Drosophila melanogaster: one gene and its partners. The protein of the gene in region 3 interacts with the protein of the main gene of each other region in a pairwise test. Each region holds a gene or a part of one and is shown on either strand. Other genes may lie near its edges. The genes, in order: RpS15Aa, CG32809, Vps52 and CG8141.

Region 1 (4,612 bases), on a different chromosome or scaffold from region 3:
CAGCACTGAACTCGAGGGCTGCAATTTGCCCGCAAAAACTTTAAGTGTTGATAACAAGTAATGCCTAAAAACGAATATCACAAACCCAACACCCGTTCATAAAAAACCTAGTACTCCCTAGGGATAACTTGAGATAACATCAAATTTGACTCATCGAGTGAATACACTTTATCATAATTAAAACAAATTTTTACTCAAAAATTGCAGCAGTTATCTACAGCATAAATTCGGAACTTGTGCTGGAAAACAGTTGAAAACCTGAAGAAGCATGTAAATGTACGTTTTACATGTACATTTTGTTCTATAGAAACTACAACAAATTCTAACAAGCATTATTTGCTTCATAAACAATTTTTGACAGTAATTGAGGTTTTCTTGGTGAAGAAGTTCTAACAAATAATAAGAAACCTAGGTGGGAATACCAAAACTATGATGGTCTAATCATTTTTGGCTTTAAGGTGTCAAGAGTGGGAACAATTGGCCCTTACTTTCATTATGGAAAGCACGTAACCGTGTTTTAAGCACCTCAAAAGAAACCGCATGGCGCGTTCTTAACATCCTAATTGTCTTGATTTCAGCCATAAAATTGACAATATCCAGCTATAAGTAACTCCGGTCGAGGTTATATTATACACAAATTGGGTTTTATGTTAACAGATCGTTTTACTGTCGCTATTGATTTATCACTGTACCGCTTAACATAGTATATGGATCGTAGACAAAATCGTTATTAAAATTATTATGTATCAATCATTTTATTTCGCGTAACTTTGTGAACATTCATCGTCGTTTGTTTTCTGAATGAACGTAGCAGCGTTTTCGCCCCTTGTTTCCTGTGCACAAAGTACATAGTTGGTTGCATGGTCGGTGAAATAAAACGTCAATCTACATATCAAACTCCTTAGCAGCACATACAGACTCTCTACGATGCGAACTTGGTTTCTCTAGAAGAAGAAGCCGAGAATTTTGCCTCCCAAATGTTTTCTCCTAGCCTCCTCGTGGTCCATGATGCCGCCAGAGGTGGTGAGCACAACGTAACCAAACTGACGCGAGGGCAACAGATTGTTGGTCCATTTCTCGATGTCGTTGATGGGCACATCGAAGCGGGGCGAGATGACGCCGCACTTGTTTAGCCTACCGGTCAGGTTGACAACGATCTTGCCGGAACGATGATCGTCGACGATCTCGAATTCGCCGATATAGCCATGCTTCATCATCACGGTCAGGAACTTGATGATCACCTTGGAGCAGGGACGCAGCAGCACCTGCCGCTTGCCACGCTTCTCGGCGTTGTTTATGCACTTCAAGGCATCGGCCAATACGTTCATACGCACCATGGCTGCAAAATGTTCGGGAACACAATTAGTCAAGAGGCAATAATCACAGAAAAAAAAAGATGATGTCTTGGGCTTTAATCGAAAGTGCAGACTTTGCCACCCCCATTGCTCTATAAAATCAGTCTACAAAACCAAGCAAAACGTGCTCAGAGCCTACTAAAAAAAAGTATCTCACTAAATTGCATATAACTACTATATAAGTAGTACTATGAGGTTGGCTAACAAAGCTTAAGCCCTATTAAATGAAAAACTAACTTGAAAAGTACGTAAAACTATGTGTACTACAAGAACAGATCAATTGACCACCTAAACAAAACATATCAACTTATGGAGCCTATACAAGTGTGGCATATGACTTATTGGAAAAAGGTTTCCCTAACACATATGAACCATTATGAGCATAATAAAGTATTCAATAAAAGTGGCTACTATTATAATACTCTAGATTTCTGGAGGGCAGGAGGCGTGGCGCCTTTTCGGAAATTCACGCGGACAGACGACGAATCGTTTTTTAATATTGATTATGATTTTTAACAGTTTTTTACTTCACTTTTTAAATCAGCGAGGAACGGAACATTGAATAAAAAAAGAAGCAGAAACAGCAAGTAAAACACGTGCAAAATAGCAAAGAAAAAAAAATGATACTGTCTGTGTTTCTGCGGCTGTGTGTGTGTGCGTACAAGTGGCTGTAAACAACAACTATTTCGGGTAAGTTTACCAACTAAACTGCGTAAAAATTTGTTTAATTTAGCCGGTTTTCGGTCGTGCATTCGATTCAACTGAATGCCCAACTTTTTGCCACAATTTAAAGCCGCTCACACCCACCCACACATGCACAACAACACTGTGCCACACACTTTGGCCAATTTTTCACTTCATATTCGTTTGCACATTAAAAAAATTATAACCAAAAAAATACATATATATAGCGCATGTAGCGAGGCATTTCATGCATTGTTTACACGGTAAACTGATCAGTTTTGGCACATTGGCCCACAGTAAAAAAAAATGGGTAATAAAAAAAACGGAGTTGGGTGGATTTGCACATGTTTCGGCCGGCGATCGCCGCCAATCTAATCTGGCTGAATTTTCGCGCTTAAAACGGGTCCAATGGAAGCGGCATTTACCTGGATTTGTTTGCAAAAACTGTTTTACACGACCGCTGCAAATAGAGGAAATAAAAGAGAGTTAAATACAATTTTGTTGAACAAAACTCGGAGTACACGTACTCACGCAAACGTGAAAAAGGGAAAAGAAAGGGAAACGGAAGGAAAAAGACGCAGAACAGTGTGGCCGCGTTTGTCGAATGTGTCTACGCTCAACGTGCCTATCGATAGTTAGCCGGACGCAGGCCGCGGTTGCTGGCTTGACTAAAATCGCTTCCAATTATTTGGAGCCCAACTGCCACTATGCATGTGAATAGACTTGAACGGCTTCAGAAGTAATCTTTGATATTTCTCTGATCCCCCCGAGCATCATGATCCCGTCTATATTTTTCTGCGTAGCCAGACTAAGGACCGATGTTTCCATTGGCGTAAAAAAATAAATAAAAAAAAAACAGCAGGCCTTAAGTGATAATTAAACGCTTTATTAACATAACAATTTATTTATATTTAAATTTATTTTAATTTGTTTCAATATTTCGCCATATTTGTATGTGTATTTTACGTCTCTAGAGTTGCACTAACATGATTTCAAGGGGTAAGAGCCTTGGTTTGGCAATAAAACAGAAAATAAAGTAATGATTGGTCCATTGAAACACAATTAAATACAAGTTGATTAAAGCACAAGTTTTAAAGTAGTTTCACATTGAAATAACGAATTTTGTGATACTATCCGTGTTTCAAACTATTATCTTAATACTATCGAATGGTCCTCCTATCGATATACAACGGTTCTTTTAGCCGGTAAAGCGTTGCTGTCAGCAGTTTTGCACCATTGAGGGATTTTTGTGGTCGCTTCAGACGGTCATACTAATTATTCATAAATAAACAAGAATGGCAAAACAGTAAGTAATTTGTTAAAAATAAACAATTTGAGCAGTTTTTTAAGGACCCGTTTCAACACCGTGCAGATATGGCCTTATTTTACCCGGCCAACAGAAGAAAGTACCTCTAAAACGAGTCGAAAGGCCCTCCATCTTCGACGAGAACAGCGACTCCGAGACCGATGATGACCCAGCTGCTCCTCAATTTCAGCCAAGAACCGGCGGCGTATCCATGGGTCCTAGTCTAATGGAACGCCGCGTGGCCCGCCGGCAGCAGGAGAAGGCCCTGGCCGAGGATCCAACCATATTCCAGTACGACGAGCTGTACGATGACATGGACAGCAAACGCGAGGAGGCCAAGCAGACGAAGAGCCAGGAGCCGCGGAAACCAAAGTACATTGGCCGGCTGATGGAGCATGCCGAGCGCAGAAAGCTGGAGAAGGAGCTGCGCATCGAACGGCAGGTGCAGAAGGATCGCGAAGCCGAGGGCGAGATGTATAAGGACAAGGACACCTACGTGACTGCCGCCTACCGCAAGAAGCTCGAGTCCATACGCCAGATGCAGGAGCAGGAGCAGCGTGATGAGTACCTCGAGGCCATTGGCGATGTGACCAAGCAAAAGGATCTGGACGGCTTCTATCGCCATCTATACGAACAAAAGTTGGGCGGTCCCGCCCAGCAGGATGTCGTCAAGCCAAAGACGGCGCCCACCACCGACGAGGTGGCATACAAACCCATTAAGGCAGAGGCTGTCAAGCATCGAAGCTATCGGCGACGTCGCCCCTCCGAGGATGAAGAGGAGCAGACTAAGAGCAAATCAGACGCAGCCTCGGACGCCACGAAGTCAACGGATCAAACGGAAAGCATACCAGCGCAGGCACATTTGACCAACAACATAGATGCCGATTCTGATTTTAGCATAGACGACTCCAGCGATGAAGAAGACGAGAAGGAGAATGAGAAGGAAAAGAATAAGCTGTCCCAGATCAAAAAGGAGGATAAGGACAAGGCTCCGGAAAGTTCAGAGCCCGTTAAACCCAAAGAACCCGAGGCCTCGCAACAATCCCCCACCAAAAAGGATGATTCCAATGCCGAAGTGAACGAAAAGGATCTACCCGTGCCGAGAGTCACCAAACCGCCTGTGGATCGCACACTCTTCTGGCGCAAGAGGACCGTGGGCGAGGTCCTAGCGGCAGCCTTGGCTCGCTACGAGGAACGCAAGCGAGCGCGCCTCCAGTAAAATGCATCCAATTAAAGTTCGAGTTGAGGGAAAAACAAACCAGTGATT
Region 2 (4,780 bases), on a different chromosome or scaffold from region 3:
AGCATATCACTGATCTCAGACGAAGACGATTGCGAAAGCACCGGTCCACATGTCAACGGAGGAGTCGGCACCGAACCGGTGCACCCCGTCGTGGTGGCTGCGGCGGAGGCACACGCTGCCGCCAAGCTGCTCAAGCAGCAGCAGCCACAGCTCTCGGTGGTGCAGCATCTGCAGTACGTCGGCGGCGGACTCGCAGCTCCAGTGGCTCTTGCCCTTCCGGTGATGGCAGCAAATCCGACCTCGTCTGCTTCCGTTGTTGCCTTGCCGCTGCAGCTGCCGCGGCGCCGAAAACTGGGATGAGCTGGATGACTGATGACCGATGACCCGCCAGAACCGAGTCCCCATCGCCATAATATCATTCCCCGAGCCGGAAGCACGGCATAGACTTTAACTAGCAGTGGCTAGAAGTGCAAATATGAACGTAGGTTTAGCGACAACACATCACTATTTCCCAGTTATCCTTGAATCCAGGACTAGTCCTTGTCCGGTCGATTTTTGTATCCTTCCCCTTTCCCAAGCACCTTCTCTCCATCTCACTCAGTTGCCCATTAATCTCCCTGTCTCTGTCATTCTCATATTTTAAGCTTTAAATGAAACGAGACGACAACGTACAAATGAAAGTAGAAAAGCATCAACCCATATACATTGTTGAGCAAAAAACACAAATTTCAAAAGATTATAAGAGGGAGTAGAAAATTTGAAGCGAGTGAGAAAGGTGAGCCCAATATTTATAAAGTACAAGTAGCTAGCTTAAGATATACTATGTATATGTACATTTGATTTAGTGTATCATATATTACATGGCTGAATCACGTCGTGTAATCCGTCGCAGTCCGCCGTCTGTATTACATTAGCTGATCACCAAACCGGAATAAATTTTCATTGTATATATATATATATATACATGTACACCAGCTGTGAGAAAAGGAAACTATGCGTATGCCATCAAGGTTCGTTTCGACCAAGCGCTCCTTGAACCACGACTGATCTCTGGCCAGGATTTCGTGGGTGAACTCGTATCGCGCTAGGGCACTCTTAATATAGAGCGAGAGTTGCGGCAGGAGCAGATCCTCAGAGTGGCTGACAAAGTCATGGGATCCTTGGTCACGCGCTTCAGTCGCTGAGCATGCTAATGCCCGCAGTGGTGTTGCCGCAAAACTGTCGAATACAATCGTAAATGAAAATGAAATCGAGTTGCATCTTCTGTGGCCAAACTCACTCGAGTGTTGTCCACGTGCGGCTTGATCGCGCCAGAGTCAGCCAAGTCCAGGATGTGCACGAAGGGCATGACCTGCTCACCGAAGGAAACTCACGAGACGTGATCCAGCGTGGCCTGGTTTTGGGGAGTCCACTTTCGGCGTTCAACTTCGCGGTATCTGCCTGCGAAGTTTAAGAAGTTTAGCCAGAAATCCGATACTATATAGTCTCTATATATACCCACCCACGTCATCACAGTGGCTCAACTCGTACGGCAAGCGGCTGATGTGAGGCTCGATTTCCCGCATCAGTAGTTGCTCCTCCTTCGCAGTGATGAAGTCCCTGATGACCCGCATGTCCGATTCAAACTGGTGCTGCTCACAGCGAGGCCACTGGCCGGGAAACTCCACCAGGGCGTGGCTGCGGGCCCAGACATCCGCTGGAATCCTGGCTACTCCCGGATAAACAAGCCGGCGCAGGACAAGCATGTGTTTCGTCACCTGTTTTTAAAGGCCTTCCGCCCAGTAATCGATTGGAGCCATTCGATAGCCACATGCGCTCAACCGCCAAGAAAATTACTCGATTGCCCCGGCACCAGGTAAACACACACAACAGAGCAGCGTCGGAATGCAGGGATGCCAGGACCTCTGACGGCTGGATGCCAGGGAACTTCGCTGGTCCGGGAACACTCGATTGGTAACGCATGCGCCGTGCAAGCACGCAGTCCTCGTTCGGCTAGGGCGGAAACGCTTTCCGGTGTAGATATACCAGAAATATTTCTGCTCTTCTGGCGTTATGCTGCGTCGGTGGACGAGTGCCGTGTCCTGACTCCAGAAAGCTGTGTAGTGACGAGTGCAAAGCGAAGCGAATTGAATCGAATCTTTATCCTAAGGACACGGCTAAATCGGTGAGCTCCTCGAGCTATGAGCACCTAGACCCGTTAATTGTGAAACCTTCCTGAATCGGCAAGGCAAGTGCGGTTTGAGAAAATGCCAGAAACATCGCCGGTGAACCGCCCACACACCCCCAAAGGTGCATAGGTATACAAGGTACAGCTAGGACGAGATCCCCCATGAAAACCCAAAGGAATCCAGCCAACTGACCGCTGACGTGTGTGGAAAAGTCAACAGACACGAGCTCCCCTCCACCGTGTTTAATGTGCACTCGTGCCCTGGAAACTGGACGCAACTGACACAATTAATGGCGGCTGGGAAAAAACGGGCCGGGGCACCGCACCTAAAACTAATCAAAAATTCCTTTAGTGGCCCGCAATAATGCCGATGGGCAGTGAATGTGGGTGGCTGTGTACATATTCCCAGGCACTGGCACTGGCAAAGGCAAAGGCATACTAAAACCCGTGAAGTGCTGCACTGAAAAGTATACCATGTTTCGTGTGTACCCATCTCTGCGTCCGTTTCCTTTTGGTGCCCCTTCCTCGGATTTCTTGCTCGAGATAAACATGTACATGCAGCCAAAATAACTTGACATGCCTTGTTTAAAGCAACTTCCAACTCCAAAAACGTTTACATATGCAAAACAAATTCGAAAGTGATTCGTGTTCTCTCAGCAAATGGCATCTTAATGGCAACTGCGATGAACAATTGTATTCGGCCAACACTATTGTCTGTTCTGCCAGCCGCATTTCTGGGGTCCCGATCCAGATCCGCATGCAGTTCCAGATCCAGCTCCAGTCACGCCTTCCGCTCTGTCCTGCTTTCTTGCTCCATTCCGTGTTGCAGAGCAGAGTTTGCGCACTCCGTTGCATACTTTTTGCATTGAGCACTGGCACTGCCACTGCGAGGCTCCACTCCATTCCACCACACCCTGTTAAAGAATGTGCGAGGATACATGGTTTATCTACACCAAAGTTGCATGTTGTGTGTGTGCGGTTTAGCGTGTTGTTGCCGGTACCAAACGTAAACAAAGACCAAAAAAATAAGGACATTTTCACGTTACCCATACGCCCCGTTGTCTCTCATTTTCTGCAGCTGCAACATAGCCACTGAGCTCCGCACATCTCAAACGGCTGCAGGATGTTGATCCGTTGGAAGAGTAAGGACAAGAGCGCCTCCTCCAACCAGAGCGTCGGCGGCAGCAGCAGCTCCTCGTCGAAGAAGAAGCGCAAGGGTAGAGAGGGCGGTAAGTAATCGGAATCCATAAATCGGAAGGAAGCGAAATGAAATGAGCCTAACTCCAGCTCCCTCTCTTTCAGAAGAAGACTGGCAGAATGAGGCAAAGTCGGGACGGCTTCCGTCGAATGAACAGGGTATGTTAAGGACCAAAGACGTCCACGGATCTGTAGCCCCATCCTCAGTGTCTATGTGTTTCCCCAGGTGGCGACGAAAGACGACGAGCCATGCGACGCGACGATCCACGACGACATACGCTCGGCGGCGATATGCTGGTCTACGGCTCGCAGCATCCACACGCCCATCAGATGGCGCCCCAGCAACAGCGGGCCATGGATCTGGAGGTGAGCTCCATCTCCCATCTCAACTCGTTTCTACCATCAGTTTCTGATTCTTGTCCCTTCTTAGATGAGTACGCGCGCGCAGAAGAACAAAAAGAACCAGCCGATGCGCGGTTATGCGCCTGTTAACCAGGGACCGCTGTTCGACGACGATCCCGGCATCATGTCGGAGGTGGAAACGGCCAGCACCGGATTCCGGAGGGGCGGCAAGCAGCGCTCCTCGCTCCCCGTGGTACGCACGCCCTCGAAAACTCTGGAACGACCGCTGGGCCTGGTCTTTCTGCAGTACCGCTCGGAGACGAAGCGCGCCCTGCTGCCCAACGAGATCACTTCGATTGATACGGTGCGCGCCCTGTTCGTACGCTCGTTTCCGCGCCAGTTGACCATGTCATATCTGGAGGGGCCCAATGTGAAGATTTACATTCACGATGCCAGCAAGGATATGTTCTACGAGCTGGAGGACGTGCGCTCGCATCTGCGCGAGATCAGGGATCGCTCCGTGCTGCGTCTCTTTGAGTCCACTGAGGTGGCAGCCCCGCCCCAGATTCTGCCCGGCGGCCCTGGAATACCCCAACCCCTGCCGCAGGCGCAGGCCAATTGGGATCAGGATCAGAGCTACTTCAGCGAGCCGGAGTTCGACTCGGACTACAAGCACCAGCATATCCACAAATCAAAGGTAAGTGCTGCTAGATGGTATCAGTTAAATAGTCCTTTATTCAATATCACCGCGTAATTGCTAGGGTGAGGATGTAGGGCTTAGGGAAGCAGGATGGATTGGTGTCCATGAGCGAGTCAAGGATTGTTTGGTGGCCAAATGGGTGGCAACAGTAAAGCGTTGACTCCCACATGGACAATTGTGGCACAAGATGCCCAACCAATCGAATACTTATTCGTACATATATAGAAAAAAAAAAGATATGGAAATAATGGGGTGGGGCTGGGAAAGCTTAAGCTGGGGTCCTAGGACACTAGAATGTTATCCGAACTTTGGGAACAACTAGAAGTTACCACATGGACCCACACTGAGGCCCTTGAGGGCGTTGTTCATGTGCTCGCGCACATCCTTCCACGAAAACACGATGGCACCCTGGAAAGGCTCCGTGTGGCAGCTGC
Region 3 (4,879 bases):
CAGTTGGCGGATCTTGGGCACTAGGCTGGCATCGTACTTGGCAATCAGGTGCATGGGCATCGTGATCAGGCACACGGAGTTGCAGTTCCGCACACTGGCCATCAGCAGTGTGAGAAACTTGATCAGATCCTCGCCGAAGTGTTCGTCGTACCACAGCGGCGATCCCAACGAGGTCAGGCAGACGCGGCACAGGTTATTCTTGGTCCCAGCGACGAAGCTCTCGTTACGCAGCAGCTGTTGAATATCGTTGAGCAGTCCTTTGTACCGAGGGTTGTGGAACACCTGCAACGGCGAATCCTGGCTGCCTGTTTTTGTGCTACTGGTCACGCTGCTGCTATTGTTATTGTTGTTATTATTGTTGTTGGCAGAGTTCTCCTCCTCCTGGGCTGGCATCTTCTCCTGCGGAGCGGTCTCCGTGCCCGGAATCGGTGGGGCATCCTCCACGGGCTGCTGCTCCAGCGACGGAGTGGTTGGGGAGCTGCTCTTGGAGAACTCCTCGTCAATGACGATGTCCAGATGCTTGGGGCTATCGTCCCACAAGGTAGTCTTGACATTGTAGAGCATCATGGAGTCCATCTGTTCCATCAGATTGAAATGGTGTCCGATTTTTGCTGTGGCATGTTCCGAATTCACCAGCGGCAGATCATTGTATCGCCAGGCGATCCTTAGGCCATTTTCGGCGCCAGCATCTCCCAGCGCTTGCACCTCGCTTTGCTCCATCGATTCCTGGTCGGTCAGCGGTCTGGGCAGACGGCGCAGCATCTCGGCTGGAATGTCGTCCAGGCTGCCCAGAAATATCTCCTGCTTGGAAATCACACCCTCGGCCAGAAAGTACTTGGCCAGCACCTTGGCGTGCGTCATGAAGCGATCCTCCTCGATCAGGCAGATCGAACCCATGGGCAGACCGCCGCCAATGACCACGTCCAAGTACGGATTTCCGCTGGAGGTGATCACCTGCGCCGTGTGCGGTGAGGTGCGGGTGCCGCGGATTGGCTTCTGCACGGTGCGCTTGCGGAAACTGGTCATCTTCGTCGCACAGATTTCGCTAACCTTTATTTTTTGCGTTCTTTTTTGCTATGTGTTTCCTTCTCTTCGCGTAAACTTCTATTTCGATACTTTCGATATTATCTATTCTCGATGGCTGCCAATGGGGGCACACTCTCCAATTGTGTATCGATAGTCAAAACAGCTGTTAATTCGCAAGTTCTGGGTAGGGCGATAGTTTAGCTTTTATTGCTTAAAAATAAATTTGTGTTCATGTTGTATAATTGGTAGAATATAAGAGGCACAAGTCAAGTGTTGTACTAGAAAAGAAACTCATTGATTGCTTGTGTACAAATAAATGAATAATTGAAAAAAATTGGTCTTAAATTCAATTTCAATTTTCACCCAAAAATTAATTTTAATTAAAATTGTATTAGTTAAGTAATTTTTTATATGAACCAAGAAATCTTTTTTTTTTTTGAAAACATAGTTTAGTTCTCATCACCAATATTAGGGTCTTTCCAAAAGCACATCTTACTCCGATAACAAAAACAGCTGTTTTGATGACATACTTTATTTTTGTTGGTAGTTGAGAAAAACAATTGGGAAAAATACCTTTAAATTGGAAAACAAAAATGGCCGAGGTGCCGTCCCCGCAAATGACGGAACAACTGGACAACGAGGAGGTGCGGGAGATCCTAAAGAACACCACGGATCTGCGGCAATATTCACGACAGATTGAAAAGGAGTTTAAGGAGGTGGAGAATAAGTCCATAGAGGGTAAGCACCATGTTCCATATGCAAACTTAGCTCTAATGATATCCCTTTGAATACCAGACTATATAGCGGAGTCGCAGAATATAGCCAACCTGCACAATCAGATAAACGATTGCGACGATGTCCTGGAGCGCATGGAAAATATGCTGATGAGCTTCCAGAGCGTTTTGAACAACATAAGCACTGAGATCACGCAGCTGCAAAGAAAATCCGTATCCATGTCCCTCCAACTGACCAATCGTCAGTCGGTCAAGGCTCAATTGTCCCAGTTTATCGAGGACATGGCCGTGTCCGAGGAGATGATCAACATAATAATGGAAACCCCGGTTACGGAGCGGGATTTCAGCACCCAGTTGAATGTACTGAATCACAAACTTTCGCTGGTCAAGGAGCTCAGCTTCAAAGAGTCAAAGTCCACCAGCGATGTGAGCGATGTGCTGCAGAAGCTTCGACTGAAAGCCATGGCCAAGATTCGCTCCTATCTGCTGGAGCAGATTTACAAGTTCCGGAAGCCCATGACAAACTACCAGATTCCACAGAACGCCATGCTGAAGCACAAATTCTTCTTCGAGTTCATCCTGTCCAACGAGCGGCATGTGGCGCAGGAAATATGCAGTGAATACATCGATACGATGGGCAAAATTTACTATAGCTATTTTAAGGTTGGTTTTTTTTTCAAAGTTGTGGAAGCATGAATTTTCTTAAATTCATAACTTTCTTGCAGAGTTATTCCACACGCTTGACGAGCCTCAAATTCGAGGAGTCCTGCACAAAGGACGATCTGATGGGCATCGAAGATAATGCATCCAAAGGTTTATTCTCCAAGACGACGAGTCTAAAGCACAAGAGCACCATTTTCACAATAGGAAAGCGAGGCGATATACTTAACCAGCAGCTGGAGGCACCAATTATAGTGCCACATGCGCAGCTAAAGAATCGAGTAAGAGATGTGATACATACACTTGCAAAGGAGATACATCTCAAATTTTAAACAGTACACAGCGGAAGCTCTCTTTCGGTCGGAGCAATACGCCCTAGTGGACAATGCCTGTCGGGAATACCTATTTGTCACGGAGTTCTTTATGGTTCGCGGCACTCAAGCGCAAGATTTGTTCAACCAAATCATGGGCAAAACCCTAACTCTAATGATTGTAAGTCAATGGTTTTTACTTGCGAAATATTAATCATATCTGTTTTTTGAACCTAGAAAAATCTGGAGACCTCCATACACGACTGTTTTGATACCATTGCCATGTTCCTGTGCATCCATCTCATTTTCCGCTATCAGCTAATGTGCCACAAGCGCTGTGTTCCCGCATTGGATAAGTGAGTCTATTCATGGGCGTTGATGATTTTGGTTCACAATTGGATATTTATATGTTTTGATTTCAGATACTGGGACTCCCTGCAGGCGGTAATATGGCCACGTTTCGAACTAGTATTCCGCTTGAATATCCAGAGCATACATGACTGTGATCCAACCAAGTTCAACAAGGAATTGGGACCGCACTACGTAAGTATACGATTTAAAGTTAGTACGGGTTACAAATTATCTTAAATCGATGTTGATAGCATTCTAAAAGTCAAGAGAGGGCCAATAGAGATAACTTTTAACCATTTCTTTTGAACAAAACGCCTTGTCATAATATAATACGTATACTTTACAGATAACACGACGCTACGCAGAGTTCAGTGCGGCCATTGTGGGAATCTCGGAGCATTTTCCTAATGAATTGGTTAGCCGACTGCTTCTGGAACTGCAAAATGAAGTGGAGTGCTTTATCCTTCGCATGGCCGCAATATTTCCAACGCGAAAGGATCAGCTAATCTACCTGATAAACAACTACGATTTGGTTTTGGGCGTGTTGATGGAGCACACGCGAGATAACTCCAAAGAAGCGGAGGCATTCAGAGAGCAGCTCAACTCCCGCAGTGCGGAATATGTCGAGGAGATCCTGGCCCCTCATTTCGGAGGCATTATTCAGTTCGTCAAGGAGTGCGAGCACTTCTTCGAGAAGGAACAAATGGATGAGCTGCGCAAACAGGAGCGAAGAAGTCTGGCCTTGGTCGCCAGCTTCTCGGCCAATTGGAAGAAATCTCTGGAGGAGCTAAACAGGGAGGTGCTTCTCTCATTTCCCTCATTGCTGACGGGCTCACAGCTTCTGCAGCTTGCGTTGGCCAGTTTGGTGCAATACTATCACCGATTCCACAAGCTCCTCACGCCCAATGCCCGCGCCCAGCTGACCAATATCCACGTCGTGATGGTGGAGATCAAGAAGTACAAGAGCAATTACTGAGGGACGCTTTAATTGAATCTGTGTGTGTGTCTTCTGTGTATTCCAAATTGAGTAAAGTTCCAAAATAAATGTATGTAAGGTATACGACTTAATCCTCATCCTCGAACATCATCTCGACGAGATCCTGATTGGAGCAGCGCTCGCCATCCAGACGCTGTGGCCGCTTCCAGCGCAACAGAGTGGGCAAGAAGATCAGATGCGTGTTGGGATCCTTGCGGAAGGGGCAGTTCAAATCCTTCCAGCTGCAGTGAAAAACAAGTGTTAATTTATTGCTTACCACGGTTCAGTGATAACAGGCGGCATGAATACAACTCAAGAGCATTGTAAAGCTATCGTTGTTTAATGGTTTTTTTTATCATGAATGTTCTCGGCGTGTGAAAAAGTACTCGAGTGCTTATTTCATCATCGTACAGTTGGGGTTGAGTGACTAGTTTCACATTGCCAAAATGTTTTGAACTTGATAATCGAATGACAAAGGGTTTTGGCAACTGAATGACGTGGGATATATGCATATATGTACGTCATTCTAAATGACTAAGCCTGTGTTTTGAAACTATTTGGCTATTTCGAACCAAAGAAACCAGCAGATGTTCGCAGTCTCGCAGTGCATGAAATATTAATTCCTGCTTATCTAACTAATCGCAGCTGTTTTCTTCAGTTTGGCGGTATTAACTTACTATGCCCGCTCGCCCACATCCACATGCACGAAGTGCGAGTTGCCCGGGGCCTTCTTCAGCGCATCGTGTATCACCGGCTCCGCTGCAAACGTGAGAAATGAGTTTGGGAATCGGATAGGTTGCGGTTAGCCGCATTGGGATCAC
Region 4 (3,330 bases), on a different chromosome or scaffold from region 3:
CAAATGCCATTTAAGCTGCAATAATAAAGCTGAATCACAGGATGCATCTGCATCCGCTTCCTTTCAATGTCCGTGTCGCTTTCTCCACCTAGCTGACGCATTAACTTCTGTCACTTGCCTTTCGGTTATATATCCTTACGGATTTCTCGGCACTCACTTAATTAATGATAAATATTGCCCAGAGCCAAGCCGCTAAAGGCCGACACGCAACTCCAATTCCCCCACGGAGCTGTCATCAAGTGTCCATCCCCCACAAAAGTCGGTTAACAACTCAATTGGGCTAACCCAATTCCCCGAATATTCAGTTGACCATGGTTCATTAGCCAAAGTATTCGGTTCGTTTCTTTCCATACTCCTCAGGTGAAAAGGCTTTAAGTTCCGACTTAAAGCTGCTTAACTTTGCTTACAGTTTTGTCTGGTTTCCTAACTGCCCCAAGAATTTATTGTTTCAGCTGGCCAGGATGCCCCGGTACTTTGCGTTGTTGCACTTACTAACTTTGACTTGGCCAGAGAGTTCATAAAATATTTCTTCGATTCGTTGAAGATGCAAGAGGGTTCCAACGAAAATGTCTTGGCTGCAGAGGTTTGGGCAACAAATTATAATGAATGTTATATACGATTTAAATCATTCGATTTTATAAAATAGATACTTTCAGCATTAGCAGAAATTTATTGAGGTCCGACCAACCTCTTAAGATATTAACCAAAACGCACTCTTCTCCCATTAACCAAAAACAAAAATGTATTACAAAAACACCTCTTAGAACAGCGACAGTACGGACCATATCAGAAATATGAGCAACACGCATCCCAACTGGAACCACTTGAGAAAACTAATTTGTGCTCCGATCCAAGGGTACACCATTGGAATAAGCCTTATAGCGCAGTGAAGATCCCTCTCCCTGCGAATATCAGGGAAAGTCGCTGGGCACCCATCTACAGGATCGTTGACCGCGAACCAACAGGGAAAATCAGTATCAGAGAGATACAGTCCCGTCGGGCGAGGCACTGAGCCCGGCTGGGCCGGCACATTATTATCCTCCTGACGGGCATTGGGTCCCTCTCCATGGAAGGGCATGATGTCCTCGTACATGAGCAAATGTCGTTGACAGCATGGACATCTTGGCTGTGCTGTACCACTCAATTTGGGCCACAGGCAAGTCCAGCAAAACAAATGACCACAGATGGTGATCACACCACCACGCACATACTGGTTGCACTCATTGCACACATAGGGATCCAGATGCAAATTCCTGCGACGGTAGCGAAGTCTAGTTCCAGGCAAGAGGTCATCTTCGCCATCATTTTCCTGCTGCTGTTGCTGATTGACGTTTGCGTTGGACAAGTCTGGTATATAACCCTTTGAAATCACCTCACCTGCTCACCTTGAACATTAATAATTTTCCATTTAATTGGAATGCCTCACCTTGAAGGCCATGACTAGGATTCTCGGCAGTTTCATTCGCTGGAACTTCTTCATTTATATAGCAATGATTTGGTGGATCATTTTCTCTAGCAACTGCTTCCATTTCAAAATCTTTTTGTGATTATTGTTTTTAAAAACCCATGCTCCAAATTACATAAATATAAATTTGTGCCTGGCAAATTTGTGACAACTGAGTCAAAGCAAACGCGACTTTTTATAATATTCTTAACACAGATCTTAGGTACAATAGTAATTTTATTTCTCGATTATATGAAAAGCAAGACATTTTCAGCGACTTAAATTTGAGGGCATATTAATTAATGACTAAGTTTCACCGTAACATAGTTCATGCCAGATTTTGATTGTTTTGCAGACACTTAGTGATTTATATTAAAACCATTCCAGCATTCCGTCCAAGAATTGCAAAACAGCGAACTACACACGCCGAGCATTTGACAGTTCCGGAAAAACGGCGGAAAATCGAAATTCGTAGCATTCGCCAGATGTGTGACATATGGCGGCATAATTTATGCGAAAATTGAACCGGATAGTGAGTGGAAACTTCGCGGTCCGTTGCCGCTGCATTTAAATTCTGACAATTGTTTGCATTGTCCTGGCAGCACGTCTGCGGCATTGTTTAATCCCGATTTTTCGACATCGATGGGGACCATCGACTGCTTGTTAATTGACCCACATTTGTGAGCTGAGTACATAATTAAAAGAAAATAAAGCGCGGGACGGTCCAAATAAACCCGCCGACAGGCGTTCGCACACATAACAATGACAATAATAATAAAAGTGAAGTTTCATAGCGAAATTACACACTCGAACAGAATTAAATAAAGAACTATTACGCAGTGGTGTAAAATAACCTGTTCTTGTTCTGAATAAAAAACAAGCGGGAGTGTTGCGTGGTAAAATATAATGAAATTTAAGTTTTTAAGACCATCTATAAAATATTTTTAAAGTACTATAATTATATGGTAATGCGTAGCAAAGTATTTCCGAAGCTTGTGGACACACCGTGCGCTTTTTACTTACCCAGTGAAATAACAACTAGCGGAAAATAATGCATATTAATAGCGACTTTTTCACATATTACACAACTGCCGACATTTATCAGGCATTAATAATTACGTGTTAATACGTGAAATATGATTAAATTTTTATCAGTTTACATGAATCACTTTCGCACGTTTGCGTGCGAACAAGGACATTTTATTGGCTTCATTTGGCGACGGACCGCAGAGAAACTGACGTTTGCCCAATCGGAATTACAATCGCAATGCCAGTGGTTCTGCGTCATTTGGCATCCTATATCCCTGTCCACAAAGCGAATCCTTTAGCCTGTCCATTTGCCTGCTGTGAGTGGAGGGGCGTAATACACTGCGTATACGTAATGGGGGTGCCCCAGCGTATACGCAATAAAAAGTGGTAAAGCCGAGCGATGGCACAAGGATAACCGCCTGCGCTGGCCATTAAATGCAACAATAAATTCGGCAGTTCAACTCCAGTCAACTTCGTTGGCATGCCCGAAATTTAATTAGTTGGCATTTAACATTAAGCATTTCCACTGGCGCCGCGGCTGTCATTGGGCTTTGTTTTCGTTTTGCTTTTTATGTTATTTTTCAGTTAATTAAACGCACGCCAACATCTCGCCATTCTAAATTGTGCGCAATTAAATTTGGAATTACTTTCAACTGAGTATTCGCGTAGCTCTCGCCAGCGGCGCGGCAATAACTTAACTTGAAATTTTATTGTAAGCCCCTGCCTTGCCAACTGTCACTTTTGATGGGCAGCCATTGGAGCGTAATTAGGCTACTACAACGCTCCTAAAAACCCCTACCCAAATTACCAACCCCTTCTCACTACTTGTGCCAAAAAGCTAACTTTAACTTTTCCAG

The links.
Region 1: the proteins of Vps52 (region 3) and RpS15Aa interact in a two-hybrid assay, tested with the Drosophila melanogaster proteins (one large-scale study listed by BioGRID).
Region 2: the proteins of Vps52 (region 3) and CG32809 interact in a two-hybrid assay, tested with the Drosophila melanogaster proteins (one large-scale study listed by BioGRID).
Region 4: the proteins of Vps52 (region 3) and CG8141 interact in a two-hybrid assay, tested with the Drosophila melanogaster proteins (one large-scale study listed by BioGRID).

Annotation. Positions count from the first base shown.
Region 1 is NC_004354.4:13,335,041-13,339,652, forward strand, and holds RpS15Aa (ribosomal protein S15Aa), read right to left. Parts: upstream 2,599-4,612; 5' UTR 2,465-2,598; intron 1,340-2,464; 5' UTR 1,338-1,339; coding exon 945-1,337; 3' UTR 597-944; downstream 1-596. Other genes in the region: CG15747 (uncharacterized protein), read left to right, coding at 3,335-3,345, 3,412-4,564.
Region 2 is NC_004354.4:1,689,763-1,694,542, reverse strand, and holds the start of CG32809 (uncharacterized protein), read left to right. Parts: upstream 1-1,774; 5' UTR 1,775-2,104; exon of another isoform or gene 2,105-2,246; intron 2,247-3,185; 5' UTR 3,186-3,230; coding exon 3,231-3,336; intron 3,337-3,409; coding exon of another isoform or gene 3,410-3,412; coding exon 3,413-3,463; intron 3,464-3,530; coding exon 3,531-3,670; intron 3,671-3,734; coding exon 3,735-4,343; intron 4,344-4,355; exon of another isoform or gene 4,356-4,664; coding exon of another isoform or gene 4,665-4,780. Other genes in the region: a6, read left to right, coding at 1-300; b6, read right to left, coding at 4,665-4,780.
Region 3 is NT_033779.5:5,520,557-5,525,435, reverse strand, and holds Vps52 (vacuolar protein sorting 52), read left to right. Parts: upstream 1-1,537; 5' UTR 1,538-1,619; coding exon 1,620-1,764; intron 1,765-1,821; coding exon 1,822-2,423; intron 2,424-2,485; coding exon 2,486-2,701; intron 2,702-2,756; coding exon 2,757-2,912; intron 2,913-2,968; coding exon 2,969-3,087; intron 3,088-3,153; coding exon 3,154-3,274; intron 3,275-3,428; coding exon 3,429-4,058; 3' UTR 4,059-4,146; downstream 4,147-4,879. Other genes in the region: Elp4 (elongator complex protein 4), read right to left, coding at 1-1,026; cl (clot), read right to left, coding at 4,147-4,300, 4,736-4,817.
Region 4 is NT_033777.3:13,189,900-13,193,229, reverse strand, and holds CG8141 (uncharacterized protein), read right to left. Parts: upstream 1,632-3,330; 5' UTR 1,530-1,631; coding exon 1,427-1,529; intron 1,378-1,426; coding exon 761-1,377; 3' UTR 721-760; downstream 1-720.